4 linked regions of the Sus scrofa genome follow. The main gene of each other region encodes a partner of the protein of the gene in region 2 in a complex. Links are inferred from orthologs where the notes say so. Each region holds a gene or a part of one and is shown on either strand. Other genes may lie near its edges.

Region 1 (7,688 bases), on a different chromosome or scaffold from region 2:
TGCACCACGACAGGAACTCCCCCAAAATGATTTTAAAAGCTAACACAGGAGTTCCCCCTGTGGCGTTAACGGGATGGGTGGTATCTCTGTAGCGCCAGGTCACAGGTTCCATCCCCCCTCTGGCTCAGGGGGTCAAAGATCCAGCGTTGCTGCAGCTGTGGCATAGGTCACAGTTATAGGTTGCAACTCTGAGTCGAATCCCTCACCTGGGAACTCCATAGCCACAGGATAGCCAAAACAAACAAACACTGGAGCCTACAAATCCCACTCTGATATAGGACAGAACTATCACACTGCTGTTTCTAAATGCTTACTCTCAATCTCTGTACATATTTCACTGCAGACTGGTAGCAAACAGGGTTTTAAAGTCCATGTAGGGACAGAAAAAGCATTTTTGTCCATTTGAGGCTGGGAATGGGAACAGAGAATACCACTAAGCTAGGACTGCAAAATACACCCTCCATGAAAAGGTGCACTAAGAAAATGTCTGTCAACCCACACAGAGAAAACATGGAAGCTTGTCCTTTTTTCCTGTGGGGTCTGGCTAGAGGGATGTAAAATTAATCTCCCTGGAGAATATATAACCACAGAGCTACCCTCACACTGATCTGGGGCTCAAATTCATCCTCCGTGGGTGGTTCAAGAACTTCCATGAGGGAGTTCCCATTGTAGCTCAGCAGTAACGAACCCGACTGGTATCCATGAGAACAGGAGTTTAATCCCTGGCCTCACTCAGTGGGTTAAGGATCCAGTGTTGCAGGCAAATGGCCACAGCTCTGATTTAACCCTTAGCCTGGGAACCTCCATATGCTGAGGGTACAGCCCTAAAAAGACCAAAAAAAAAAAAAAAAAAAAAAAAGAATGAGGACGAAGTTCCCATTGTGGCTGAGCGGGTTAAGAACCTGACTAGTATGCATTAAGATGCGGGTTTGATCCCTGGCCTCACTCAGTGGGTTAAGGATCCAGTGTTGCCATGTGCTATGGTGTAGATCAAAGATGTGGCTTGGATCCCATGTTGCTGTGGCATAGGCCGGCAGCTATAGCTCCAATTTGACTCCTAGCCTGGGAACTTACATATGCCGCAGGTACAGCCCCAAAAAGCAAAAAAAAAAAAAAGGATAAGGAAACTTCCTAATACTGACATGGAAAGATCTACAATATATATTGTTAAGTTTTAAAAAATTAAAATGATTAAATCAGTACTAGAGATGGAGGCGGAAAGAGACCAGCTAGGTTCAGTGACATTGCTGACAACCTAGAGTGACCTCCTTTGACAAAAACTGCATACTGGCAAAACTGCCCTTGAAAATCCCTTAGAAAGCAACACAGGACATGGACATTCTGTTTCTCAGGGTCCAAACTGCCAGTTTTTCAAGTATCTTTGGAACAGACTGTCTTCTTCTGTTAAGCAACAAGGGCTGGCATTTGGGACCAGGTCAGATAAAAAGCACAAGTCTCTAAATCCAGCATCACATGGATGGAGACCAGGTGCCCCAAGACCCGCCCAGGGATGGACAGACCCATGCTACCAGCTTACCCTCACTCAGGGCACAGCACAGAAACACCTACTTTCCTTGCTCTAATGATTTTGGAAACAGCACATATACCCTAGTTGAATTCAAGACTGTTACATAAGCATATGATGCGACTAGAGACACAGAAACAGAGAGGAAGAGGCCAAAGTGACAGTATGAAAAAAAAAACCATTACCAGATAATTGTAATGAATTGAGGTGGATGGGTTAGAGAGAGGGGTAGAGAAAAGAAAGTTAATTCAAGTGATCTCTGAGTCTTCAAGTTGAAAAATTCCAAGGACAATGAATGCTGCCCAGTCTCAGCATCCCTGCTCTGCGGACACTTACCTGTATTCTGTGCCGCAACTGTTGAAATTTTTCTTTCACTTTAGTATTCAGTTCCGTAAGTGCACTTAAGGGTCCTGAACAATCTCGAATATCCTAGGAAAAAGTGAAGAGATGAGGGAGCCTTTCTCAAGGCAATGAAATGAAACGACACCAGCTGTACCGTGAGAGAGTTGGCTTAGGTCACAACTAAGTTTGGCCTACTAACTGAAATTCATCCTGATCTTTGATGTTTACCTCTACAACACAAGCAAAAACAATGTAATTTACATTTTTCTCATCCCGCTTTAGATAACTTCTCAGCAAGTAACATAAAAGCACAGATAGAAACACAACTCTATCTTGACCTATTAGTTCCTGAAGTTTACCAAAACTCCATTCAGCCATTATGAAAGACTTAAAGCAACTTGTGACAGGAATGGACATCTAAAAGACAGACTGTAGCTTTACTTTAATGGTGGGGGGCACTCCTATGGCATATGGAGGTTCCCAGGCTAGGGGTCCAATGGGAGCTACAGCTGCCAGCCTACGCCCACAGTCACAGCAACAGAGGATCTGAGCAGCGTCTGTGACCTACAGCACAGCTCACAGCAACGCCAGATCCTTAACCCACTGAGTGAGGCCAGGGATTGAACTCACAACCTCATGGTTCCTAGTCGGATTCATTTCCACTGCGCTACAATGGGAACTCTGACGTATTATAACATTAGACTGTAATGTTACATGGTTCCAACTTAAAAGTCAGGATGCGGAGTTCCCGTCGTGGCGCAGTGGTTAACGAATCCGACTAGGAACCATGAGGTTACGGGTTTGGTCCCTGCCCTTGCTCAGTGAGTTAACGATCCGGCGTTGCCGTGAGCTGTGGTGTAGGATGCAGACGCGGCTCGGATCCCATGTTGCTGTGGCTCTGGCATAGGCCGGTGGCTACAGCTCCGATTGGACCTCTAGCCTGGGAACCTCCATATGCCGCGGGAGCGGCCCAAAGAAATAGCAAAAAGACCAAAAAAAAAGTCAGGATGCTAATATTTGGCATTATATGACAAGATTAACTTCTTGATCTAATTTTATAAACCCTCTATTGTAAGTCACTGTTTATAAACATGCTCAAAGATAGATTTAGAATTTGCTTCTGGACATTCAGAATTTCCAGGGCCAGGTTTTAAAGCAGGCCCTAGGATATATTATGTACATTCAAATTCTGGTTGTAGCAATTATAAGCTGTTTTATTTTACCTTGAAAAAGTTACTGAGTCCTATGTGCCTTAGTTTCCTCATCCCAACATTACCTACTTCATAGATCAGGTATGTAGTAAAGGGTTTAGCAGAGGAGTTGGAACACAGTAAGAATGCGCTAACTCTAGCTATGATCAACTGTTCTCATCACAAGAACAAAGAGAGCTAGAGAGTGCCCAAAAGGGCTTAAGCAATATAGATTATGTGAAAAGACAGTTTCGTTTGTTTTATGACTCCTCAACTTATTTTTCTAAAATTGGCCCAGAGGTTTGTAGTTTATACATCGGAAACATGAAGTTCAAGAGTTTAACTGTTTGCATCAAGTTGCCTCACTTGTTCTATGGATTATGCATTAAATCACACTTCTTTGCTCCATATAATAAACTATTAATTTGGTTTATTTTGCATTTGGCTTCTGTGGGGAGCCTTATTTTCCTCCACCTTTTACCACAGTTGGCTGCAAATTCTCAGTCTACATCCAACGTTTAGTAACGTTTGTTGTAAATGGAAACGATCTGCCTCAAATGAAGATTTTAAACTCTTGGTTTCCTTTTGCTAAACTCAAGTAACCATTTCTACATTCCTAACTCTTGCCTATGCCAAGGGGTTTATTGTTATCTTCTACCCTCAAACGGCCTAAAACAAAGGACCTCAATTACCCCATCTGTTAAACGAAGTAGACTCAAGTCTTTTTTCTATACTGACTTTCCCTGTCCGACCCCAGTTTTGCCATTATCTGCCCTCTGACCCAGGCCTTGGCCCTTGACTCGATTTCCTAATTTACAAATCACAACGTCCAGGTTACGTTCACTTCATCCAGTGCCTCCCGCGCCAAGGGGCCTTTGGTGACCCGGGACATCAGACCCACGGAACTGGCCACAGGGGCCGGGGTTAACGGCCCCCAGGACTCTACCAAAGGATGGAAAGGGCGGTGTCAGAAGGCAGGGCCAAGCAGGATGACAGGTAAATTGGAGACTGGGGCAGGGCGAGGAAACGGCCGGAGTGGGGCAGGGGCCACAAAAAGGTAGCCAGGCCTGAGGCGGAGGCTGGGGAAGGGAGAGGGAGAGGAGAGGCCTTGGAGAGGGCGAGCCAACGGGAGCCGGAAGAAGGATCAAGGAGAAGAGTCCAGGGGATGAAGGGAACGGGACCAAAAGGGGAGCAGCTAGGAAAAGGGGGCGGGGCCAGCGACCTCGGAGACTTGACCAGATGGGGAAAGCTCAGCAGTGAGACCGCCGAGCTGAAAGAAAACCAAAACCACTTGGGTTTCGGGCCGCTGGTCCCCATTGGGGGTCCTGGGAATTAGTACCTGAATAAGCGCCTTCACTTCCAGGTCGAATTTAACAATCTCTTGGTTACAGATCCGTACGTGGACATCCTGGGGAGCCGCCATGTTGGGGAATGCTGACTACGGACAGCCGCGGGGCCCAAGTTCCAACGCGTTTTCTCCCGGCCTCCCTTCCTTCCCGGCCGGGCCTTGGGGCAGCGCCCCCTAAAGACCGGCCTGCGGCGAGCGAGGGCGGCGGCGCAGTGGTGGGGACTTTCCCTGACACGTGGGCGCGCACTCAGTCGGCCTGTTGGTGTGGATCTAGTTAAGAGAGAGAGAGAGAGAGAGAGAGAGCGAGAGCGAGAGCGAGAGCCGAGGGTATTATCGAGAACGCTTTAACGGTGATCCCTCCGCATACTCCGCCCATCAGCCACTCTAAAGAATGCGGGGTTTTTTGCATGGGGGCGGGGGGTGGGGGGAACCGCTGGAAGAAAAGTATCAACTGGGATATCTCTGAAAGGTATAATTAACAATTGTTTACACTTTTTTAAACTTTCTTGTATTTTCATATTTTCTACAGTGAATATAAATTGTGGAATGAAAGAAAAAAATGACAAACGTTGTTACACTTTTTTAAATATACGAAATTCAAGGCAAGTCCCTAGGGAATCTTCTGTTAGTCCAGCTTGAGTGCTAGGGATCTTTGCGTCTAAAATGCGCAACTGGTAAGTCACATTCCAGTTTATACCCCTTCTCTGCTCCTGGCGGTTCCCTTTTGTGTACAATTAGATTTATTAAATAATTTACCTGGCTGGAGTAGTTTTGATGGAAATAACAACCTGGCTGTTGTCTCTCTCTCAACAGACAGAGAGTCTTTCACTTTATTTTTCTTATAAAATAGTCCAAGTTTCTTAACTTGGCCCTCAAGACCATCAGCTACCCCACCCAGCGCCCCCGCCCCCCTTGCATTCTTCAAGCTCTTTTTGGGTCCGTAGTTGTGGGGTTTTTGTTTTGTTTTTTGGGTGGTTTCTCTTTGGCTGTGCCTGGGACATGTGGAAGTTCCTGGGCCAGGGATTGAACCTTTGCCGGAGCAGCAACCCCAGCCATTGCAGTGACAGTGCTGGATGCTTAACACCCTGAGCAAATGGGAAGTCTGGATCTGTAGTTGTGGAATGTGCTTTTCTCCTTCTTAGAATGCTTTTCCCCACTTGCCCTCACCCCATTCACCTTTGTTCTGCAATCATAGACTGGGAAAAACTGAGTGTCAGCTGTTGCCCTTTAGCCTCACAACCACCCTTGAAATAGGTAATAACCCAGTTTCACAGTTCGGGAGTTGGACTAAGGCCAGATCAAAACAAAACAAAAAACGAGTTCCCGTCGTGGCTCAGTGGTTAACGAATCCGACTAGGAACCATGAGGTTTTGAATTTGATCTCTGGCTTTGCTCTGTGGGTTAAGGATCTGGCATTGCAGTGGGCTGTTGTGTAGGTCGCAGACGAGGCTCAGATCTGGTGTTGCTGTGGCTCTGGTGTAGGCTGCGGTCTGGGAACCGATGAGGGGTCCAGTTAGACCTCTACCCTGGGAACCTCCACATGCCGTGGGTACGGCCCTAGAAAAGACAAAAAAGACAAAAACAGAACAAAACATCCTTGCCCCAAGGTTGCCCAAATTAAAAGTGGCAGAGCCTTAAGTGAAAGCCCTATCTTCCTTCCCTCAAAAACCAAATATGGCCCCTTGAATAGTGTCGAATAAGGGGGGAGCTGCGTGCTCCCACATCTGTATTCCTCCAGTGTTCCACACCCCCTCCCTCCAGGCCTTCATTATTCCACTGCATCTAATAGAGAGGCCACGTGAGGGTTAAGGCAGGCTTCCCCTCTCGGTACTTCAGCCTCCTCAGAGGCTAGCTGGTGGAGATCACAGCTACATGAAGTCATACATAAAAAGCACCAAGCACAATGTAGTAATGTGGCACATGCTAAGAATGCAAAGCACATTGGCCGCTATTATTATATTACTGACATTTGTGGCACTCTTCCCTTGTGCCAGGAACTTTATATGAAGTGCTTTATGTGTATCATTCTTTCACAACAGCCCTGAGGTAGAATTATCCACTTCCTACAGATAAAGAAACAGGCACAGAGAGAATAATGACTTGCCCAGCGCAATGGAATGGCTAGGTCGAAGGTTACATGCATTTCAAAATTCTAATACATACAACTGCATTGCTTTTCTTAGAGGTTATATCAATTTACACTCCCACCAGCGATGTGGTATGAACGCCCGCTTTCTCATGGCCTCACCCACATGGTGTGATAACAAACACTGGGATTTTTGCCAATTGGATCAAGTGAAAAATGCCACCTTTTAATTTGCATTTCTCTTATCATGAATAAGGTTGAGAACTATTTGTATTTACTGTTTTTCTATTAGGTTGTTGGTCTTTTGCCTATCCATTCCCAGGAGCTCTTTATTCATTAGGAGGATTTGTTCCTACAGATAAGCTTTGCCTCTTTTTTTTTTTTTTTTTTTTGTCTTTTTGCTATTTCTTTGGGCTGCTCCCACGGCACATGGAGGTTCCCAGGCTAGGGGTCTAATCGGAGCTGTAGCCGCCGGCCTACGCCAGAGCCACAGCACCGCAGGATCCGAGCCACGTCTGCAACCTACACCACAGCTCACGGCAACGCCGGATCCTTAACCCACTGAGCAAGGGCAGGGACCGAACCCGCAACCTCATGGTTCCTAGTCGGATTCGTTAACCACTGCGCCACGACAGGAACTCCGCTTTGCCTCTTAAGCTACAGAATTTTGACTTCGTTTAAGTATTTTGGGTTTTTTTTTGTTTGTTTTTTGTCTTTTTGCCTTTTCTAGGGCTGCTCCTGTGGCACATGGAGTTCCCAGGCTAGGGGGCCAATCGGAGCTGTAGCCACAGCAATGCGGGATCTGAGCCACGTCTGCGACCTACACCACAGCTCACGGCAATGCCGGATGCTTAACCCACTGAGCAAGGCCAGGGATCGAACCTGAAACCTCATGGTTCCTAGTCGGATTCATTAACCACTGAGCCATGATGGGAACTCCCGTTTAAGTATTTTGGACCTTCAAGATTTGAAATTTTTTATTTCTGTTTCATATATAATTTGTTAATCTTCATTTATGACTCCTAGATTTGAGATCCCATTAGAAAGGCCTTCCATGCTCACATGGGTTCAAAGGAATTCCCCACATGTCCTAGTGTTTTGTTTTGTTTTTGCTTTTTAGGGTTGCACCTGAGGCATATGGACGTTCCAAGGCTAGGGCTCGAAAGGGAGCTGCAGCTGTTAGTCTATGCCACAGCC
Region 2 (7,105 bases):
TTTTTTTATTGGTTTAGCAAATGTTTGTTGCTGCTGGGAGCTAGTCCTCCTGGATCCAGGGATAGGGAGGGAACACAAGAGGATGCTGGCTGAGGAGGATGAGATTTGCTCCAGACATTGTGAAAGCGAAGGTCTTTCCCAAGCCAAAGACCCCTAGTCTGATGCTCAGAAAGCGGGCTAAGCTAGAGATAAGGACTTGGGAGCCAGCAGCTTCTAGGAGAAACCATGAGATAGATAAGACCACCCAAGGACAGTGGGTAAAGTGAGAATAAGGATAGGATACATCCCTGTGGATTCCAGGCACTTGTGATAAAGGGAAGAATGTGTCCGAGAGACTGCGAAGATGAGGAGAAAGCAGAGATGTGTTCTTAGAAGCTGAGCTGGAAGGAATTTTAGGGAGAAAGGAGTGGCTATTTCTTGATGCCCCTGAGAAGGAAGCATGAGTTAAGGATCCTCAGGTGTTAATTGGATCCGGGGGCTCTGGTTAATTGAATCAGTGCCAGCAATTTCAGTTGAATGGCTTGGAAACGTAAAAGGGGAATAACAAAGGAGAGAAAACTTGTGGACAGTGATGTGAACAAGAAATTGAAATTTGAAAGAATGATATTTTCCAAATAGACATGGCTACTCTTCGTGTTTGCTTCCTGGGAATGCCAGTGAACCTGGAGTTAAGCACCCTCCTTAGAAACCACTGATTTAGTCCAAAGTTCTCAGTATGTTAGTTTCATGGGCCCCACCCTAGAATCACTGAATGTGAGACCTAAGAATTTGCTTTTTTGAGATGATCTATAGGTGCTTCTTTTTCCTTGTAAGGTATAAAAACTGCCCATCTAGAGTTAGTCACTTTCTTTTTCCCACCAACTTGACAAAGATTTTCAAACCACAGGAAAGCCGAGAGGATAATGAACACCCGTGTACCTTTCACATAGATTCACCAACTGTTGACGTTTGATCACATTTGCTTCCTCTTGCCCTTTTTTTCTGAATCATTTAAAATAATATAAAAAAGAATGTTTATATATATATACACACATATATATACATATATATATATAAAACTGAGTCACTTTGCTGTGCAGCAGAAATTGGCACAACATCGTAAATCAACCATAATAAAGAAAATTTTCTTTAAATCTAAGTGCAAACATCATGACATTTATCCCCAAATACTTCAGCATGCATCTGCCAAGAATAGGTATTCTCCTGAATATGCGTACCATTACAAAGCCTAAGAAATTAACAGGTCTCCAGCAAATCCAGTACTCAATCTAAACTCAAACCTCCCCAACTGTTCTAAAGAAATAGTTTTAGCTTTTTTTCCTTACATTTAAGACCCAGGCAGCATTCACACATTTCAGTTGATTGTTAAAGCCTTCATCTGCCTTTTGTTTTTGTGTGTATGTATGTGTGATATTTTCTTTCTTTTTAGAGGCCAGTGCCTCTTGTTCAAAGGCCTGCCAGTGTACTTGTGCACTGTTTTACCTGTGATTAAGTTAAATATTTGGGGCTAGCTATAGATGATCCTATGGTAGGCACTTGATGAGGTTACCTCTTGGCATTGGTGATGCCAAGTTTAGTCATTTGTTGAAGGTGGTGACCATCAAACCAAGTCATCTGTGGAATGAATGACACTTTTTTTTTTTTTTGGTCACTCCTGTCCCCAAAAAAACTGCTATTAAAAAAATAAATAAAAACACAAACTACTGTAGAGGAGTTCCCACTGAGCCACAATGGAAACTCCTCTATAGTAATTTTAAAGAGAGAAAGCTCCTTCTGTCAGCTAATGAATGTAGAAGAAATTAGAAAATTACCATTTTGCCATACTCATTCTCACAAATGAGTCAGGCATGGATCATCATAGGGCTAAGGAGCTGGACATTCATAGGGACTCAAAGCATCACTCTAGAGGAGTTCCCTGGTGGCCTAGCAGCTAAGGATTTGGCATTGTCACTGCTGAGGCTCAGGTTCGATCCCTGGCCTGGGAACTTTTGCATGTAGTGGGCTCGGCCCTAAAAAGACAAAAAATAAAATAAAATTACTATAGGAGTTCCCATCGTAGCTCAGTGGTTAACGAACTAGTATCCATGAGGATGCCAGTTTGATCCCTGGCCTCGTGCAGTGGGTTAAGGATCCAGCGTTGGCTGTGAGCTGTGGTGTAGGTCAAAGATTCGGCTAGGATCCCAAGTTGCTGTTGTTGTGGCTGTGGCATAGGCCAGCAGCTGCAGCTCCAATTTGACCCTAGCCTGAGAAACTCCATATGCCACGGGTGCAGCCCTAAAAAGCAAAAATAAAATAAAACAATGAAATTACTATAGTAAATAGTAATTTTAAAAATTACTAATATCATTCTTTTTTAACTAATTTATTTTACTATGGTTGATTTGCACCATCATTATTCTTTACTACAGTCAGATTTCTGGCCACTAGGAGCTACTTCAAGGCAGCTTCTGTATCCACTGAACATGATCCAGTTACTCTCAGTAATTATGACGTTTTGGGGAAACTGAAGCCAAAAGAACTAAAATCCAAGATCTCCTAGGCACGGTCAGATGGTCAAATAGTCCTTCTAGTTCTTGAGTTCTCTATCTTCTTCCATCAAACTCCTTTTTTGTCATTCCCACCTTATACTTACCTTCTCGTCCTCTGGCTGTCCATGCCTCTGATAGCAGTTTCATCATCCATCCTTTGTGTTCAGCAAGACTCCAGCTTCTTATTGCTTAATTACTTCCCTCTATGGTTTTCTTTCTGTAAAACGTTGCGAACTGTTCTCCTCTCTGTTTTCCTCAGTCTTTTCCCTCCCAAGTCATTATTTTCTCCCCATTCCTTTCTGACTTTTAACTCCCCTACTGATTCCTCTGAATATCCCACTGATGCCTAATTTTATCACCCCTAGATTTCCCTTGTATTAGTTTTCATTCACGGTCTCCCATTTGAAATGTTTTAGGAGTTCCCTTGGAACTGCAACCACTTGTGTCACTGCTGTGGTTCAGGTTCAGTCCCTGGCCTGGGAATTTTCACATGCTTTAGGCATGGCCAAAAAAATAAAATAAAATAAAAATCTTCCATATGCCAGATTGATTTGATTGCTTTTCCATTTTTGTTAAGCAGAGCCATTATGATTGTCAGTGTGAATGAGCTTTATTGGCTATGGGATGACAAATGCATCCACACTGAGAAATGTAATTATAGCCCAAAGCTGGGAAACCTGATACGTTTGTTAGCTTCTCTGACATAAACAGGGAATCATACAATTCATGCTCCAGTGTTTGGCCAGAGATTACCTGATAGTCTCGTGACCACCTTCCCAGGACCTTGGACTTGCAGTCACCAGCCCAGCCTTTCCTCTCACTTGCCTACTTGATTCCCAGCCTTCACCAACTTTTCTGTCCTCACAGCGCACGATGGTTTCTGCTCCCTGCGACTCCCTTTGCAAAGACCAGGGTTCATATTTCGTTTTCAGGATTGCACATGCACGTTAGCTGGGAAATGTTTTATTTTCCTCAGCAGCCTCTCAAGAGATTGCCATTCATTCTTCTGAGGACTTCTCTATATCCTGAGAGACATGTTCTAATATCGGGCTTTTCTTTTCTTTTCCTTTCTTTTTTGGCCATGCCTGTGGCACGCAGAAGTTCCCGTGCTAGGAATCGAACTCAAGCCACAGCAGTTACAATGCCAAGTTCTTAACCGGTAGACTACCAGGGAACTCCCTTGGGCTTTTCTTTTTTTCTTTTTATGGCTGCACCTGCAGCATATGGAAGTTCCTGGGCTAGGGGTTGAATTGAAGCTACAGCTGCTGGCTTACACCACAGCCACAGTAATGCCAGATCTGAGCCACATCTGAGACCTACACGGGATCCTTAGCCCACTGACAAGGCCAGGGATCGAATCTGCCTCCTCATAGACACTATGTTGAGTTAACTTGCTAAGCCACAGCAGGAACTCCCCTGGGGCTTTTCTTTATCTCCTTTCTGTCCGTATCATCAAGTTTTTCTTCCTTTCTCACTCAGAACCAGGGTTTCCTGACCATAATGGCCTGTGACCTTTCCCCCGTTATTACAAAGGCAATACTGCTTATCAGAGAAAAATCCATAAATACTGATGTGCAAAAAATTATAATGACTAACATTTTGGGTCCTTTTAGTATGAGTTAGGCACTCTACTCATTTAAGACTGACAGCAGCTAGAGAGGTGTGGTTTGTGTTATCTGAATTTTCTCCTTTGCAGTTGAGGAAAATGAGACTTGGGGTTAAGTGACTGGCTTAGGGTCATATGCTACAGAGCTGATTTTCAAACCAGAGCCAAGATTTGTTTATATTACCCTTCCAGAGCATTTTCTGGAAGGGTAATATAGATATATTTTTTTGTTTTGTTTTGGTCTTTTGTCTTTTTAGGGCTGCATCCACGGCATATGGAGATTCCCAGGCTAGGGGTCAAATAGGAGCTGTCGGTGCCGGCTTACACCACAGCCACAGCAACACAGGATCCTAGCCACGTCTGCGACTTATACCACAGCTCACGACAACAAAAGATCCTTAACTCACTCACTGAGCGAGGCCAGGGATCAAACTGGCATCCTCATGGATGTTAGTCGGGTTCATTAACCGCTGAGCCACAATGGGAACTCCCCTCTTTTCTTTTTTAAACGGCTGCACCCACAGCATATGGAAGTTCCTGGGCCAGGGGTTGAATTCAAGCCTCAGCTGTGGCAATGCCGGATCCTCTAACCTAACCCACTGCGTTGGGCTGGGGATCAGACCCGTGTTTTTTGCAGTGACCCGAGCCGATGCAGTCGGATTCTTAACCTACTGTGTGCCACAATGGGAGCTCCCAGAGCTCTCCCATCTACAAATACATGTACACACACACAAAAATACATTTCAACAGCATTCCTTTTAATCAAGTGTCACTCTTTTTCCCCTCCTCTCGGCCCTCTCTCCAGGATCGACGAGAACGTGCTAGGAGCCCAGCTGGACGTTGAGGCCGCCCACTCGGAGATCCTCAAGTACTTCCAGTCGGTCACGTCCAACCGGTGGCTTATGGTCAAAATCTTCCTCATCCTCATTGTCTTCTTCATCATCTTCGTGGTCTTCCTTGCCTGAACCCTCTCCAACGCTGAGGCATTCCGTGGGGGTTTGGAACCCTCCTGGGAGGGCAGGTGGCCAGAGCTGCCACTGAGCCTGTGCAGGGTGCTTGGGAGAAAGGCCCTGTTTCCCTGGAACTGCTAAGAACGGCCACTGCCCCTGATCTCCCACTCCTTGCCTCTGGCCACCCTGTCCTCCCCTCACCATCCTCAGGCCCATGAAACACACGGTTCTGGATTTGGACTCTGCTGTGAAGTGGCTGGAAGGGAGCAGAGGCCAACTGGAGGGCTCTTCGGGGAGGTTGTCTCCACTGGAGATTTTTATAAACCCTCCCCAGCCTTTCTCAACTCTGGCAGCAAGGGGAGATGATGCCCTTCCCCACCTTCCTGAGAGTGAGGAGAGGAAGTGAAACTTCCCCAGGGACCAACTTTCCCATCTGGGTTAAAATTTACCTCTTCCTCTCTTCACCATGTGAGGCAAGGGGCCCTGAGCCCTTTGGCTGCCTACACAACCCCAACTCTGGCTGCAGATGACTCTCAATCTGCCAAATGTGCTGCGGCCCGTTTCCTCCCAATTACAACAAGACTGTCAGCCTCACTAGCCATGTCGTCATTTCGGGGTGGGAGCGTCGAAGGGCCTTGGCAGCAAGTGGAGTGAGCCCACTGCCCAGCATCATAACTAAAAGGGTTGGGCTGATGGCCCTGACGGGCCAGGCTCACTCACTCTGTGCACACAGCTGCCTCCCGCAGGGGGTTTCCAGGTGTAGCAGCACTTAGTTAGCATGGAAACTTCCCTTCAGAGGCCCGTAACAGGATCCCAGCCTGGGTCCCTGATTGACGGCAACTTCCAGGACCATCTCCAGAAGTATTTGGACCTGTCTCATCTGCATGCTCCAACCATTTGGCCCCAAACTTACTTGCGCTGGATGAAGTAGGAGCCCTGCCTGCTGCTAGGAGTGAAGGTGACATGAAGAATCCGTTCCCAGCTCCAGCTGAGGCTCTTGGTCCCCTTGAAGCCCCTCACCACATCCAAGCCAGTCAGAAGAATGAAGGAGTGACCTGCCTGGAACACCCACCCTCCAGGGAGGTTAATATGCTTTCTAGTCCTGACCAGGACCCAGAACCACATCATCCTGCATCACTGGAGTTCCCCCACTTCACACACCCGAAAGGAAGCTCAAGCTGTAGAGACAACAGTCACTATACACTGTGCTGGCCCCAGTACTTTGAGGGGTCCAGGAGAGCCCAGGTCTTTCCTAGCCATGGCATTTTAATATTTCCTCTCCCTTTGGCCTGTGTTCAGCGTGTGGTCAGGCTGGCCTCCTCACTGCCCAGTTGACACAAGACGTGGGTTTAGCATAGCACATCCCGGTGGGTTGGTGGGTGGGTTGGTTTGTGAAGACAGCCAAAGCCTGGCAAATGCCGTTTTTCTCTCCTTTGATTGCAACTCTCTCGGAGGGAATGCATAGATCAGTAGTTATTTCACAAATATATGTTGGGTTCCTGCTGCGTGCGTGCTAAGTATGGTATCCAGTCAGGTGCCGGAGAGAAAAAGCCGTGAATTAATCAAGCCCCTGCTCTCTAGGAGTTTACCGTTAGTTTTCTATTTCATTTTATAGGCGAGGAGACCGAGGCCTAGATCTGCAAGTGTCAAAGGGCTGAGCTGAGACTTGCCCTGGCTGGATCCTTCTAGGTGTCTATGTGCGGTCACTCCCGCTCCTAAGGGCCTGGTCTCCCACTCCTCGGAAGCCCTTCCTGTAGCCCCTCTTCCCTGTTCCTCTCGGAATCCTGGGCTGCAGTAGCCACCTCTCCGCTTCACCGCTGACCCTGGAGGTGCTCCAGCAGAGAGCTACTAGCGGCGGGGTGGATGAAAGCAGGGGGCCGGCGAACCCGCGGTAACTCGGCTTCCCAAGCTCAGGTCCTGGGCGGGGCGTGCAACGCCAAGTCCCGCCCCCGGCTAGTCCGCTCGTCGAATGCGCACGCGCGTCTCCCAGTGGTTCCGCCCATCACCGTGGGACGTCGGCT
Region 3 (6,911 bases), on a different chromosome or scaffold from region 2:
ACATTTAGGTCCACTGGCCAATCATTTTCCAGGTGGCGACCGGGTCACCAACACCCCCTCTGGCACGCCCCGCCCCGTACAGTGTACCCTCGGACTTCGCGCAGGCACCATGCAACGGTGCAACACGTCCACAGGGAGGCGCTGTAGGCGGGCGCCCAGCCGCGAATGGAGGCTGAGCTGGCCTAGTGGCAGCGCGCCCCTGCGACTCTCTCTCTCTCTCTCTCTCTCTCTCTCTCTCTCTCTCTCACCCCTCCTCCAACCCGAGTGCAGGGGCTGGGTCCCAGTCTGCACCAAAGACAGCACGTGGCCAGCCCTTCCTGGACTCTCATCAGCCTGGCACCCACGTGTGTACCCGATGCAAGCGATATTGCGGCCCGATGCGCGCTGGGCAGCCAGGAGAAGCAGCGGCAACCTGTGGGATCGAAAGTGGGATGGGACTGGGCGGCTGGAACCCGGCCCCCAGACTTTGGTCGGGGTCAGGCGCCGCCCTACCACTACCAGGCTTAGGAGCCAGAAGCCAGCTTCCTGAAACCAGGGGTCTGAAGACTGGCAGCACATCCAGCTCCAGAACTAGGCAGGGCACCTGCAACTCTTCGAAATTTAAAGTCCGGAGCTCAGGTGAGTTATGGAAACCTGGGGTCAGGCTCCCCTGCCTCCTCTATCCTCTTCAGCCACAAGACCCCTGGGAAACAAGGTGAGCTGATCCAGGGTGGATGGCTCATTAGCCTGAACTCCTATCTAAAAGGCAATGCTTTTTCTGGGCACAGGGCCTGGCCTCCTGAACCCTCTGCCTGGCAACCTCTTCCCTGATTCTTCCCCTCCTCATTAAGCACCACACTCAAATATCACCACCTCCGAGACAGGCCCTCCCTGCCAACAACCATGTTCCCAGTGTAGCTCAGCAGTAACAAACCTGACTAGTATATCCACGAGGATGTGGTTCAATCCCTGGCCTCATTCAGTGGGTTAAAGATCGGGCATTGCCATGGCTGTGGCGTAGGCCAGCAGCTGCAGCTCCGATTCAGCCCCTAGCCTGAGAACTTCCATGTGCTTCAGGTGCAGCCCTAAAAAGAAAAGAAAAAAAAGTAAGACCAAAAAAAAAAAAAAAAAAAAAAAAAAAAAAGGAGTTCCCGACATGGCTCAGTGAATAACAAATCCAACTAGGAACCATGAGGTTGCAAGTTCGATCCCTGGCCTCACTCAGTGGGTTAAGGATCTGGTGTTGCCGTGAGCTGTGGTGTAGGTGGCAGACGCGGCTCGGATCCTGCATTGCTGTGGTGTGGTGTAGACTGGCAGCTACAGCTCCAATTAGACCCCTAGCCTGGGAACCTCCATATGCCGTGGGAGTGGCCCTAGAAATGGAAAAAAAAAAAAAAAAATTAACAGAGGCAATTATTTGTCACAGTGCCTCTTCTTGGCCTCAGCAGCGCCCTCAGATGCCACACACACACACTCAGCTCACCCGTGTCCAGCCTGGCCTGGCCCAGCCTCGCTGCTGTGGGGTTAGGTGGTCACGGGGTCTTTCCCCAGGGACAGTGGGTTGATGTGGGTGTTACCCCCTCCCGGCCCCACCTGTTCTCATGGGAGAGTAGAAGGGCAGTGGCAGGCTGGCATGGCCACAGCACCCAGGACAGTCTGATCTGAGGCTACCTGGGCTGGGCCTGTCCGCAAGGGTGGCCAGGAGGTGGAAGGCGGTGGAGACCTGGAGGCCCTGGACCAGCCTTTTCAGCAACACATGTGCAAAGGAGATTCTCCAAACTTTTTTTTTTTTTTTTTTAATTTCTTACAAAACCACGGGTCCCAGCCAAAGAGGACACGGCAGGCCTGCCCCCAGGCATGGTGGCCCAAGGGGGGGAGGCCCCATGGATGAGTGGCTGCCGGCCCTGGAAGAACCGTCTGCCCCTCTGGCCAGTGTGAGGAAGGGGTCGGGCTGGAGGCTCTGTCCTGCCCACCCCTGGCTTCGGGGAGGGAAGGCAGCCCCTGGGTCCCTGGTGCTCTTAGCGCCTGCAAGGGAAGGAGGGAGAAGAGGGTCTGAGGGGAGGAGGAGAGGCTGGGGGCAGGGAGGGGGCAGGCTGGGGGGGCCCCACAGAATCTCACCGAGAATCCACGATGCTGTCACACCAGAATGGAGACGCTAATGATGACCACCAGGATAAGGAGAGTGACGGACAAACAGATGGCGATAAAGACTTTCTTCTGTAGGAGAGGAGGAGGGGGGATGGTCGGGGAAACTCTCGGGGGGCGGGGGGAGAGAGCCCCCCCCAGGGCAGGGGAGTGGGTGGCGGGACGCTCACCTTCCTTGCCTTCTTCTGGTTCTCCAGGGCCATCTTGACGTGTTCCTGCCCACGTTCCACATAGTCTGCTGAGCTCAGAATGTTCTTCTCGATTCGGTTGATCATCTCCCCCTGCTCAGAAGAGGAGGGAGGGTTCAGGCGGGTAGGAGGGACTCGGGGTGGAGGCCCAGCAGCTCCTCTGTCTGCCCACCACAGCCCCAAGACTGAAGGGCGTTCCTGGCTGAAAACAGGGCACTAACAAAGGCATGGAGAAGTTCCCATTGTGACTCAGCGGGTTAAGAACCTGATTCGTACCCAGAGGATGCGGGTTCGATCCCTGGCCTCGCTCAGTGGATTAAGGATCCGGCGTTGCCGTGAGCTGTGGTGTAGGTCACAGATGCAGCTCAGATCTGGTGTTGCTGTGGCTGTGGTGTAGGCTGGCAGCTGCACCTCTGATTCAGCCCTTAGCCTGGGAACTTCCATATGCCCTGGGTGCGGCCCTAAAAAGACAAAACAAAAAACAAAAGTGGAGGCAGGACCACATCTGGCCGAAGTTCACACTCCAAAGGGGGCTTCCAAGCCCCCTTCTACCTTGTGGTCCCTTCTGCCCTGCTCCCTTGCCACCTATAGCCTCTACTGGCAGGGCTGGCTGGGAGCTGGGTGCCTTTAATGGCTCATATCTTTTCATGGAGGGCAAGCTTCTGTCCCCTCACAAATCAGTCTGAATTCACCTGTTCTAGGCCTGACTCCCAGCTGCTGTGAAGCTCCCTGATCCCTGTCTCCTCCCGGCACTGCCAGCCTTCAGGTCCTGGTGCTCCTGCTGAGCAAAATCTCTTCCCTGGGAAGAGCAATGGCTCCAGCACTCACGGGGTAAGAGCTCCTTCTGGACGGGGTTGGAAGCACCCCTTCTCTTATAGACCAGGGCTGGGAGAAGAACACCATCGCCCGCCCCATGCTTGTGCAAGTTCTGGGAGGCAGGTCCTCTGGGGGGCAGTTCAGGTGCTCTCAGAGGTATAAGGGTGGAGTCTGTTAGTGGAGGGGGAGCCAAAGTTGGGGCCATGCCCGAGGTGGGCTCAAGTTTGAGGACTGGGGTGCAGTGCACAGAAGAGTGGCCATCTGGGTAGCTGTTGAGGAGGATACGATTTTTCTTTTCTTTCTTTCTTTTTTTTTTTTTCTTTTTAGGGCTGCACCCATAGCATATGGAAGTTCCCAGGCTAGGGGATGAATTGGAGCTGCAGCTGCCGGCCTACGCCACAGCCAAAGCGATGCAGGATCCGAGCCGCATCTGCAACCTACACCACAGCTCACAGCATTGCCAGATCCTTGACCCATGGAGCGAGGCTAGGGATCGAACCCACATCCGCATGGATACTAGCTGGGTTCATTATCGCTAAGCCCCAGGGGGAACTCCTGAGGAGGACGCAATTTGGAGGCACAGCTAAGATGGAAGTACAGGCCAGTCTGGAGGAGAACAGAAGCCTCGCAGAGAGAGGCTAAGAGTGGAGGTGGGCGGACAGTCACAGCAGGGGTTCTGGTTGAGCAAGGTCTCACATGTGGGGGCAGGATCAAGCCCAGCCGGCTGCCTGGGGCGCCCACCTGCATCTCCACCTCCGTAGCCAGAAAAGTGAAGATCTCATGAAGTTCACGGATACTGCGCTCGAGCTGCTGGATCTCGCTGTGCCGGGCCGAGATCTCATTTAGAGCCTGTCGAGTCACCTGTGTGTCCTTCAGTATCTGGAGAGTGGACAGGGGTGGAGGGAGAGGTCACAGGGAAACCAGCCATAGGCTCAGAAGTTCATGGTGATGCATGAAAGTAAACTCAAAATGGCTTAAAGACTTAAATATAAGACAAGACACCATCAAACTCCTGGAAGAGAACAAAGGCAAAACATTCTCAGACATCAACCTTATGGCTATTTTCTCCCAAAGCAACAGAAATAAAAGCAAAAATAAACCAATGGGACCTAATCAAACCGACAAGCTTTTGCACAGCAAAGAAAACCAAAAAGAAAACAAAAAGACAACTTACAGAATGGGAGAAAATAGCTTCAAATGATGCAACTGACAAGGGCTTAATCTCTAGAATATATAAGCAACTTACACAACTCAACCACAAAAAAGCCAACAACCCAATGGAAAAATGGGCAAAAGATCTGAACAGACATTTCTCCAAGGAAGATATACAGATGGCCAACAAGCACATGAAAAAATGCTCAATGTCCCTGATTATTAGAGAAATGCAAATCAAACCTACCACGAGATACCATCTCACACCAGTCAGAATGGCCATCATTAATAAGTCCACAAATAACAAATGCTGGAGGGGGTGTGGAGAAAAAGGAACCCTCCTGCACTGTTGGTGGGCATGTAAGCTGGTACAACCACTATGGAAAACAGTATGGAGATACCTTAGATATCTATACATAGAACTACCATATGACCCCACAATCCCACTCTTGGGCATATATCCAGACAAAACTTTCCTTAGAAAAAACACATGTACCCGCATATTCACTGCAGCACAATTCACAATTGCCAAGACATGGAAACAACCCAAATGTCCATCGACAGATGATTGGATTAGGAAGATGCGGTATATATACACAATGGAATACTACTCAGCCATAAAAAAGAACGAAATAATGCCATTTGCAGCAACATGGATGGAACTGTAGACTCTCATGCTGAGTGAAGTAAGTCAGAAAGAGAAAGACAAATACCATAGGATATCACTTATATCTGGAAGCTAATATATGGCACAAATGAACCTTTCCACAGAAAAGAAAATCATGGACTTGGAGAACAGACTTGTGGTTGCCGAGGGGGAGGGGGAGGAAGTGGGGTGGATGGGGCGCTTGGGGCGCATAGATTCAGACTATTGCCTTTGGAATGGATTAGCAATGAGATCCTGCTGTGTGGCACTGGGAACTGTGTCTAGTCACTTATGAGGGAGCCTGATAATGTGAGAAAATAGAATGTGTACATGTACGTGTAACCAGGTCACCGTGCTATACAGCAGGAAAAAAAGTTGTATTGGAGAAATAACAATTAAGAAAAAAACAGAAAGAAGTTCATGGTGAGCCTTGGGGCAGCCCTCCGGCCTAGAACCGGGGCCAGGGCCCTGAGGAGTGATCCCAGGCAGGCTCCTTCATTCCCTTCTGGGCCTCAGGATTCCCTCCATGCAAAAGGGCCGGGACTCAGAGCGGACAGAAGGAGGCCGGCCACTCACGTTGGACACAAACACCTCGCTCTGCCCGCTGTCCAGCATCTGCTCCAGCTCCTCGTCAGACACCATGCCAGCATTTGCTGTGAAGGGAAAGGCCAGGCTCAGCGCTGGTCAGGTCACCTGACCCGGCAGGCCCGGCGCCGCAACTCACTGATCTTCAGCTGCCTCCGGATCCGCTCCACGTTCTTCTCCCGGTACTCGGACTGCATGGAGTTGCACTTGTTGATGAGCTCCACGAATTGCTGGGACAGGACCCCATGCTAAGGAGGGAGAAGAGAGGCTGGGCACCCCTGGGAGGATCCCTGCTCCCTCGGGGCCTCAGCATCCCCATGGGTACAGGGAGCAAAGAGCATGAGCTGTTACAGGTGCCTGTCGCCTTAACCGCCTTGAATGGGCTCCTCCAGTCCCTCAAGGTGAAAGTCAAAGCCCTCCCCAAGGGCCTGAGAGGCCCTATATGACCCACCCCTCTCCCTGGTTCCCATCTAACCTCACCTTCCAATACTGTTTCCTCACTCCTTCCCTCCAGCCATAGTGGGCTCCTTACTCCTCCATGAACAAAGGACAGCCCCAGCTCGGGCCTTTGTACTCGCCCCTCCTTGGGCCTAAAATGCTCAGGCCCCACAAAGGTAATTAGTCTGTGTTTCAAGGTCGCCCTCTTATTTATTTATTTATTTGCCGCCCCCCCCTTCCTTTTTGTGCTTTTTAGGGCTGCACCCAAGGCATATGGAGCTTCCCAGTCTAGGGGTCAAATTGGAGCCACAGTTGCCAGCCTATAGCACAGCCACAGCAACACAAGATCTGAGCTGCACCTGCCACCTACACCACAGCTCACGGCAAGGCAGATCCTTAACCCACTGAGCAAGGCCAGGGATTGAACCCGCAACCTCATGATTACTAGTCAGATTCGTTTTCGCTGTGCCACAACAGGAACTCCAATTTTCTTTTTTGCTTTTTATTTATTTATTTATTTATTTATTTATTTATTTATTTATTTATTTATTTTTTAGGGTTTCACCCGTGGCATATGGAAGTTCCCAGGCTAGGGGTTGAATTGGAGCTGCAGCTTCCAGCCTACACCACAGCCACAGCAACGTGGGATCTAAGCCCCAGCTCACCACAATACAGGTCTTTAATCCACCAAGGGAGGCCAGGGATCGAACCTGCATCCTCATGAATACTAGTCGGGTTCATTACCGCTGAACCACAAGGGGAACTCCCTCAATATCACCTTGTGAACAGAGTTTTCTCTGCCTTATTGCAATTGCTACTTGCCTTCTCCTAGTGTTCTCAATCCCTCTTCTCCTGCTCTGGTCCCTTAACCCACCCTATGTTCTGAAATAACTTCCTGATTTATTATGGTGCTTCTCTCTCCTACCAGAATGTAAGCTCCGCGAGGATTGGGGTCTTTGGTT
Region 4 (7,629 bases), about 8.9 Mb from region 2:
CACATTCTGTCCTGAGCTCACAATTCTTGTCCTAGCTGTGTGTTCTAAGTGCTGCAGCTCTGTGGAAACACACCAATGCCTGGTCCCACCCAGTTGGATGAAAACTCTCTCTTTAGGGCTGGAAACCACCATATAGACCTGAGAGCAGACGCCCGCCCCGGTGTGCCCAACAGGCACCACCCTCACCCGTGGAACTCCTCTGTGCGGTCTCCAGCAGCAGTGACCATCACACAGTGCCGCAGCAGGGTCCCCAGGTGCCGGTAAAGTGCAGTGTCTTCCTGACCAAAGAGAAAGGGGTGCCTGTGAGAGAAAGTGCCACTCACCCCCACTGCTGCCTGCTGAACATCTACTGCCTGGCCCACGGCCAGACCTCATGCAGGCCATGCATCTCCTCCACCACACCTGGCTGCTCAGCCTCACTTATGTGACCTTAAGAGCACTCTCGTGGTTAGGGACATCAACAGGTCCCTTTGGGATGAAGTCACTCTGTGCTCTCGCCCCCCGCCCCCCGAAGAATCTCCTACAGCCTGCCCCCACACCACACAGCACTCCTGGTGTTGCAAGAGCCAGATACGCGCTCTGATTCCTCGATGCCCTTATACGGAACGGGCACCTCCCTGCCTCCTCCTGACAAGCGCTGCTGTGCAGATGTCCTCCTGGTCCGACACCCAGAAACTTGAGGGTACCTGGCAGAGAGGCAGGTCCCGGAAGCATCCTAGTTGTTAAGCCCAACCGAAGGCTGAGGCCAGCCCTCACCTCATCCACCTCCCTCTTGATGGAGTCGAAGGTGATGTTGAAAAGCACTTTGAGGATCTCCATGGCCCGTTCGGTCTCCTGGGAAGGAAGGAGTTCCGGGGGTCCCTCTCCAGGGGTCATTCCCAGCGTCAGCTCCAGTGCCTCGGTCAGCAGGTGCACTCCCTGCAGCTCCTCAAACAGCTGCCTGCGCACATCAGTGCGAAGCGCCGTTAGCAAGAAGAGGAGGCGCAAGTCAAAGAACTGGACGTCATGCGGGAAGCTGCTCTGGCGGTACAGTCTCACTCGCTCTGCGAGCCTCACCACTAGCCCCGCCTCTGCGGCGAGCACCTGTGCCACGGAGCTGCTCAGCACGAGGTTGCACAGGCACTTAAGGGACTCGAGCACAACATCCATGTCCAGAGTCTCAGGACACGACCCCTTCGAAGCAGAGATGCCAGCATAGCAGGCAAGCGCTTGCAGGCTCTGGCGGCTGGTGAACGAGTCCAGGCAGCTGCGGTCCCTCGACAGGATGCGGATGCTCTGCAGCCAGATGACTCGGCGGGAAGGTGACAAGCCCTGCTCCAGGACTGAGACCAGCAGCTCCGCCAGTCTCTGTGGGCAGGGGAATAGAGCGGTTCCATCAGGCTCCTCTACCTGGGCCACCCGTCCCTGCCCCTTTACCCTTGATAAGCACCCACCTTCCTGTCCTCCTGTTGGGCATCGTCAAACGTGAAGCTCTGGGAGTTCTGCAAACAGACCCAGAAGATTAGGAGGCACAGGTCCACCGAAGCAGAATCCGAGCTCCAAGGCCGCAGACACCGCTCTCAATAGACAGGGCTCCCTTTCCCCACGGCACCCCCAGCAACTCTTCAAAGACTCGGTGCCCCTCCCCGCCGTGCTCGCCAACACCCTCAGCCTTCCGCCACGCTCACCACTCACACCCTCCCCGCCGGCCACGCGCGCGGGACCCACCCAGCCCCACCTCCTCCCTGCGCGTCCCACGTCCATAGCTCCCGCTCACCTCCCGGTTGTAGGCGCGCAGAGCCTCCATAACCACGTCCTCCTCCCCCGTCTCTATAGCATCCACTACCGCCCGAGGCTCCATGGCGCTCCCGGGACCCCGGCCCGAGGAAGCGGAAGGTACCTCGCTCCAAGGCTCTGGGCCCCAGACGGCCCGCCCGGCCCTAGCTCGGCGCGCGGGGGAGGCCGGGAAGGGGCGTGCGCGGCGCCGCGCGGGCGGGGGCCCGGGCTGCGCGCGGCGCCGCGCGGGGCGGGGGCCCGGGCTGCGCGCGGCGCCGCGCGGGGCGGGGGCCCGGGCTGCGCGCGGCGCCGCGCGGGGCGGGGGCCCGGGCTGCGCGCGGCGCCGCGCGGGGCGGGGGCCCGGGCTGCGCGCGGCGCCGCGCGGGGCGGGGGCCCGGGCTGCGCGCGCCTTAAAGTGGAGAGGCCTAGAAGAGCCCTCGGGAATTTAAAGGCTTTGATGTCTAGTCACGTTGCCTTTCAGTGTCCGACTCAGTGGTTATCCGACCACGGGCCTGAATCGCTCCGGCTCCGAGCAGTGAATTCCCTACGGGAGAGGGCCTTAGCTTCTCACCCCGCTATTACACGCACACTACACCCCTCTTGATGTACAGAACGAATGAGATGTTCCGAGGAAAGACGAAGTGGAAAGGACTTTGCAGCCCCGGGACCACTTTGTTTATTAAGCAGGCGTTTGAGGGCCTACAGCATGCAAGGAACCAGGATGTGGGTGAACAGAACCCACAGGTCCTTGCCTTCGTGGAGCTTATATTGCAGAGGTGAAAACAAAAACGGGAAAACGGGAAGACTTTAAGCAGTCATAGTGCTGTGATTGAAAAAGGGGCCTGATGGGCTCCAAGGGGATTTGAATAAGTGTCGCTTTTGCTGAGACCAGAGGAAGAAGTGAGCCAGGAAGGGATGTGGGGGAAGTTCATTCAAGGCCGAAGGAGCCGGCAGAGTAAAGGTGGGAATGGCCGTTGTAGGAGAAAGAGATCATTGTTGGGGCTGAGAGACAGGGGAGAGTGGGGAGGGAAGGTCCAGGTCAGGATGAAGGCAAAGCCTGATCATGTGCAGGGACTTCCTGGCTGTGTAAGCAGACACATCTTCTGGCCTGGACCCAGTTCCCTCTTTTGAAAAGCAGAGATGATAAAAGGTCCCATTTCGGTGGGTTGTCAGCACTAAACGACACAGAGTGAATGCTCCATTACAGTGGGTGAATAACATATACTCCACCCACTGCGCAACAAGCCTTTGTTGAGCATCTATTTTGTGCCAGACCCCTTGTCAGTGCCCGGGTGCAAGGTCGCAGCACCGGCTCCTCCTGCCCCTAACTCCCCTCACGCTCCCACTCTTCTTCCTGATTTCCCGTTTTCCTTCAAGTGCTTCATCCCTGAGATTTTTGCAGCGCTCGCTTGTTCCAGGCACTGATCCCCTCTTTATCCCGCCGGCAGCATCTGGAGCGTGCTTCACACCGAGTCCTCGCCTTAACCGCACCGCAGCCGGGCGGGCCTCGGACCCCGGGCCGTGTCGCCGCGAGGAGCCTCTCTCGCCTGAGAAAGGGCCGTGAGCTCTTTCCAGTTAGGATTTGACACCGCCTTCGGCAGGAATGGCCGCGGAATTGTCTGTCGGCACCATGATGCTATTAAAAACGATAACCTTCCAGCAGTCCCAGGAGCGAACCAGCGGCCCTGTTCACAAGGCAGGCGGTGGAGGAAACGTCAGTTCTTCTCCGTCCAGCCCGCTCGCCCGCTCGGCCGGAAGTTGGAGGGCCCCGGGCGGAAGGGGCGGGACGGGAAGTCCCTCCCCGACGGCTGCGCCACATCCCGGGAGGCTGTAGCTCTGCGGGTCCGTGCTGGGCGCGATGGCGGACTGGGCTCGGGGTGAGCATTGGGGAGCGGAGGCAGGTGGCGGCGGTGCTGGAACCGATGCCGCTGCCTGCAGGAGTCGCTTTCGCCCGCCCCCGCCTCTCTGGGTGGCTTTGGCCGGCAGACACTGAGAACAGGCGGAGCCAGGGCGGCGTGGGTGGGGCCCTCGGGCGGTCTTGCCCGGCTTCTCGGTGAAGCTGCGGGGTCCGGATGTCCGCTGTCCCCACCCCTTCCGCCCTCGTGAGACTGTTCTGCACGGGACCTCAGCCAGACGGGCTGGTCGACTGTTCCGGAGGCCAGCCCCAAGGAGTGAGGGCTGCGCGTGATGGCCCAAGAAGGCCTCGTACCGACTGGGGCTGGGAGTGGCCCACTTGCCCTCTGGGAACCCCTGTTCTTATCTGCGAAGTGGGATGCTGATGCTTGTTTCCGCTGGGCTTGCGGCATTTACAGATTTAATGGATGAAAGCGGTTGGTAGGATGCTAACATCTCGTGGCATCTTTACACATCCATGATTTCTAGGGTTGTGATCCTATTAGATGAGCCTCCCTGAGACATCTGGCCCACGGCAAATCTGGCCTGTGAACTTGGGGAGGCAGTTCTCATCTACTTGATAGGATGGTTATACCAAGTCAAGTCATAAGTCCCAGCCCCTGTCCTGGGCCAGGTCTCAGCAACCACTGCTCTGGGTGTTGTGTAAGGCTCTGTGTAGGATGCAGAGCTGAGCAGATCTATGCCCTGCTCGTGAGATCGACCTCCCCTTCTGTTCATGACTTTTTCCTAAGTCCTTGCCAGAGTTTACTGGTTTTCTCTGAGAACAGGTCCCCTCTACGTCGCTGGTGACATCTGGGCTGACATACCAGTCCATCCAGAGGGGATGGTACAGGTTTTGTCACAGAGTATCAGAAGGTGCTGCCCACCCATCCGGGCTTGGATGCCTACACAGAACAAGTGCTCTCGCACGCTGTCCTTCACGCGGCTGTCTCGTGTGTGAAGTTCACGCTTTGGACCCTGGGTTAGGGCAGGACCTGTTCAGCAGACACAGGAAAGCCCAGTCCCCCTGGACTAGATGGAATTGGAGTGAGAGCCCTGAGGGCAGAGGTCAAGAGGGTGCGCGTGGGTGGGTGCACACTCTCACCCCCTCTCTGTCTCTTCTCACAGCTCAGAGCCCCGGCGCTGTGGAGGAGATTCTAGACCGGGAGAACAAGCGGATGGCGGACACCTTGGCCTCCAAGGTCACCAGGCTCAAGTCGGTCAGTGGTGGTCCTCTCCTTTCACCTCCATCTGGCCTTCTGGAGGAGGGCGTCAGAGGGAGGGTGGAGGCCTGGAAGGGGTCCAGATAGTTCTCTCTTTGTCCCGTACATGGCAGCACTCACCTGTGCTGGCCCAGGTGACATTTGGATCTCCTGACCTCTGCTGATGCCGTGGGGGGTTAGGAACAGTCCGTTATTTTTGTCCTGGCCTGACCCTGTCCCCTCTGTGTCCTGAGCAGCTGGCCTTGGACATTGATAGGGATGTGGAGGACCAGAACCGGTACCTGGACGGCATGGTAAGGGTCTGCGGTGTTCTCGGCCCCACGTTACCTGCCCTGCAGGCACCCCCCCCCCCCCCCCCGCGTGTGTGTGCTGTGGAGTTGCTGCCCCGTGTGACAATGCTAGGATTCCTCCCTTAGGACTCGGATTTCACGAGTGTGACGGGCCTCCTCACGGGGAGTGTGAAGCGCTTTTCCACAATGGCGAGATCTGGGCGAGACAACCGGAAGCTTCTCTGTGGTGTGGCCATGGGCCTGATCGTGGTCTTCTTCATCCTCTCCTACCTCCTGTCAAGGGCAAGGACGTGAGCCAGTGGGAACTGGTTTCTGTAGGTACCTGGGACAACCAGGGTCTTCCTCTGCCTTGTGTCCTGGGCTCCAGAAGATCTACCTACAAAATACCCCTTCGAAGTGATGAGCATGGCTTAGGAATCTTTTTCCTGTGTGGCTGGGAGCCTCTGACCCAGTAAGCTCATGTTAGCTGGTCCCATGTGTGCAAGGGGCCCATCCCCATTGGGTAACCAAGGCCCAGCTTCCTCTGCCATCTTGGGTGCTAGAAGCCCTAGCAGAGCCAGGTTGGAGCAGAGCAGCTGGGAATCCTGGACGTGACCACCTGTGACCAGCAGCCCTTCCCCCAGCCCTCAGGGTTCTGATGTATTGAGGCTTCTCTGCTTGGTCTTGGTCTGGATAAGGCCACGTCTGGTATTCGAGGTGCCCAGAGCCGACACAGGAAGGGGTGCGACTGTGAACCTCGAATCATTGCTGTCACTTTCAGCCAAGGGTCCTCAAACCAGAGATGGCCGTTGCTCCTGGCCAGGGCTGCCGGGCACTGGTGGACCAGCAAGAGTCAAGGGTCCTGCCGAGAGGTGTCTGCCTGCCGTCCAACCCCATGGCTGGAGCCCGACCCTCAGGGAAGGGCAGTGGCCATGCGTGGAGAAGTGAACTGCAGCATTGGCTGAAGACGCGGGCCCAGGTCCTCCTGGTCTCCCTGTGTCCAGGAGCAGAAACTGACCTTTTCTCAGGATTCAGGGTCTGTCCAGCACCGAGACACGTTTCCAGGAGCCCAGATCTCTAGAAAGAGGCTCATCTGGCATGTCAGAGTCAGGCAGGGTGTGAGCAGGGGCCTCTGTGGGTACAGCCTGGAGGCTTCCAGGTAACAGCTTTTCATAGGATCTGTAGGTCGCTTTTTGAGGGTCCGCGGACAGTTTCCACCGAGTCTGGCCCTTCCACCTACAGTATCTGCCCATCTCTCCTTGGGCCCTCAGTGCCCACTGGTCAGTCTCCTGCTCACACAAGGTGAACTGCAGTTTCTTCCAAACCAATGGGTCTTTCTACCCCACTGTGAGATCTCAGTGTCTTCCCATGAAAACACCTGTAAGAAACGAGTCATCAGCTCTGTCCTTCCCGTCTTTTGTTCCAGTTCTCTGTCTTCCTGGTCACTCCCCTTCACTCTCTGAGGGCTACCGGCTCACCGGCCATCTTCACACATACACATGTGGTCATATGTCAGCCACAGCCTGTGCCTCTCAACTCCTGCCACCCCACCCTGCTCTGGTCTCTGGCCCTGGGCACCTCACCTTCTGGCCCTGCTGCTCCTGCTCCTCCTCTCTCTCTCCTTTGTTCTCCACCGAGCAGGCCTGGCTTGTCTCACACTCACCATAATGCCCTTCTCTTTTCCACTGCGCCTGGTTGGGCCTCAGCCTTCTGGAAGGGGAGCGTGCTACCTTCTCATTTCCGAGTGCTCTGTTCTTACTGCCTCCATCCCTCCAGTGTGTGCTTGTTTCTCACTCGGTGAGGTCCGCTTCCTTGCCTCCATGGCTTCGACTCAGCCGTCAGCTCATCTCATGTTGAAATTTGTCACAGGGACGTGCCTACTGTTCATGAAGCTCAGCAGCTGCTGCCGTGTCGTGTTTCCATCGGGTCACCACAGGCACGGCAGACACATCAGACCTGAGTGTGGCAGCCGCCTGTTCTGGGCCTGCTAACCTGGCTTCCTGAGAATATGGCTCAGCCATGGCTGTTGCTCCCCCCAGGATGCTCTTACCTGCTGTGCCCACTCGTCTTGCCAGTGCAGACCAGGAATTGAGGATTTGCCTTTCAGAATGACTGTCTCAAGAAGTGCTCTGCCCCCTCCGAGACCTCTGGTTGCTGTGTTCTCTCCTTGGGTCCCCACCTCTGCCTCCCCACTTCATTTCCATGGCTCTTGGCAGCTCTTCCAGCTATTTTGGGGTCTGGGTTTTTGTCTCTGTCTGGTTTACTTTTTTGTTGCATTAGGCTGAGTTCCTGAATGCTGCTGCCACCACGTCGGCAGGGTTTTCTGTGGGGCCTGCACCCTTCTGCTCAGCCCTGTGCACTCAGCACCTCCTCCTGTGGATAAGTGGGGTTTGCTAAGTGGCCCTTCAGACTAAAACAGAAGAGGCCTTGGAGTCCTCTGTGCCAAGGGAGGGCCCCAAGTCAAGGACAAGGCATTTGGTCATAAAAAC

Evidence for each region.
Region 1: STX5 (region 2) and BNIP1 share a complex: the UniProt entries of both Homo sapiens proteins name them as parts of the SNARE complex. The link is inferred for Sus scrofa from reciprocal best matches to the Homo sapiens genes STX5 and BNIP1.
Region 3: STX5 (region 2) and STX4 share a complex: the UniProt entries of both Homo sapiens proteins name them as parts of the SNARE complex. The link is inferred for Sus scrofa from reciprocal best matches to the Homo sapiens genes STX5 and STX4.
Region 4: STX5 (region 2) and BET1L share a complex: the UniProt entries of both Homo sapiens proteins name them as parts of the SNARE complex. The link is inferred for Sus scrofa from reciprocal best matches to the Homo sapiens genes STX5 and BET1L.

The regions. Positions count from the first base shown.
Region 1 is NC_010458.4:51,135,635-51,143,322, forward strand, and holds the start of BNIP1 (vesicle transport protein SEC20), read right to left. Parts: upstream 4,756-7,688; 5' UTR 4,481-4,755; coding exon 4,397-4,480; intron 4,054-4,396; exon of another isoform or gene 2,812-4,053; intron 1,955-2,811; coding exon 1,862-1,954; intron 1-1,861. UniProt on the Homo sapiens protein: As part of a SNARE complex may be involved in endoplasmic reticulum membranes fusion and be required for the maintenance of endoplasmic reticulum organization. Also plays a role in apoptosis.
Region 2 is NC_010444.4:8,962,833-8,969,937, forward strand, and holds the end of STX5 (syntaxin-5), read left to right. Parts: intron 1-4,939; coding exon 4,940-5,099; 3' UTR 5,100-5,678; downstream 5,679-7,105. Other genes in the region: NXF1 (nuclear RNA export factor 1), read left to right, coding at 6,948-7,105. UniProt on the Homo sapiens protein: Mediates endoplasmic reticulum to Golgi transport.
Region 3 is NC_010445.4:17,420,510-17,427,420, forward strand, and holds the end of STX4 (syntaxin-4), read right to left. Parts: intron 5,760-6,911; coding exon 5,651-5,759; intron 5,580-5,650; coding exon 5,503-5,579; intron 4,008-5,502; coding exon 3,870-4,007; intron 2,406-3,869; coding exon 2,295-2,405; intron 2,197-2,294; coding exon 2,116-2,196; 3' UTR 2,098-2,115; intron 2,005-2,097; 3' UTR 1,757-2,004; downstream 1-1,756. UniProt on the Homo sapiens protein: Plasma membrane t-SNARE that mediates docking of transport vesicles. Necessary for the translocation of SLC2A4 from intracellular vesicles to the plasma membrane.
Region 4 is NC_010444.4:26,505-34,133, reverse strand, and holds the start of BET1L (BET1-like protein), read left to right. Parts: upstream 1-3,672; 5' UTR 3,673-4,027; coding exon 4,028-4,085; intron 4,086-4,776; coding exon 4,777-4,868; intron 4,869-5,107; coding exon 5,108-5,164; intron 5,165-5,287; coding exon 5,288-5,455; 3' UTR 5,456-5,475; exon of another isoform or gene 5,476-7,009; 3' UTR 7,010-7,629. Other genes in the region: RIC8A (synembryn-A), read right to left, coding at 187-278, 757-1,347, 1,434-1,481, 1,757-1,840. UniProt on the Homo sapiens protein: Vesicle SNARE required for targeting and fusion of retrograde transport vesicles with the Golgi complex. Required for the integrity of the Golgi complex.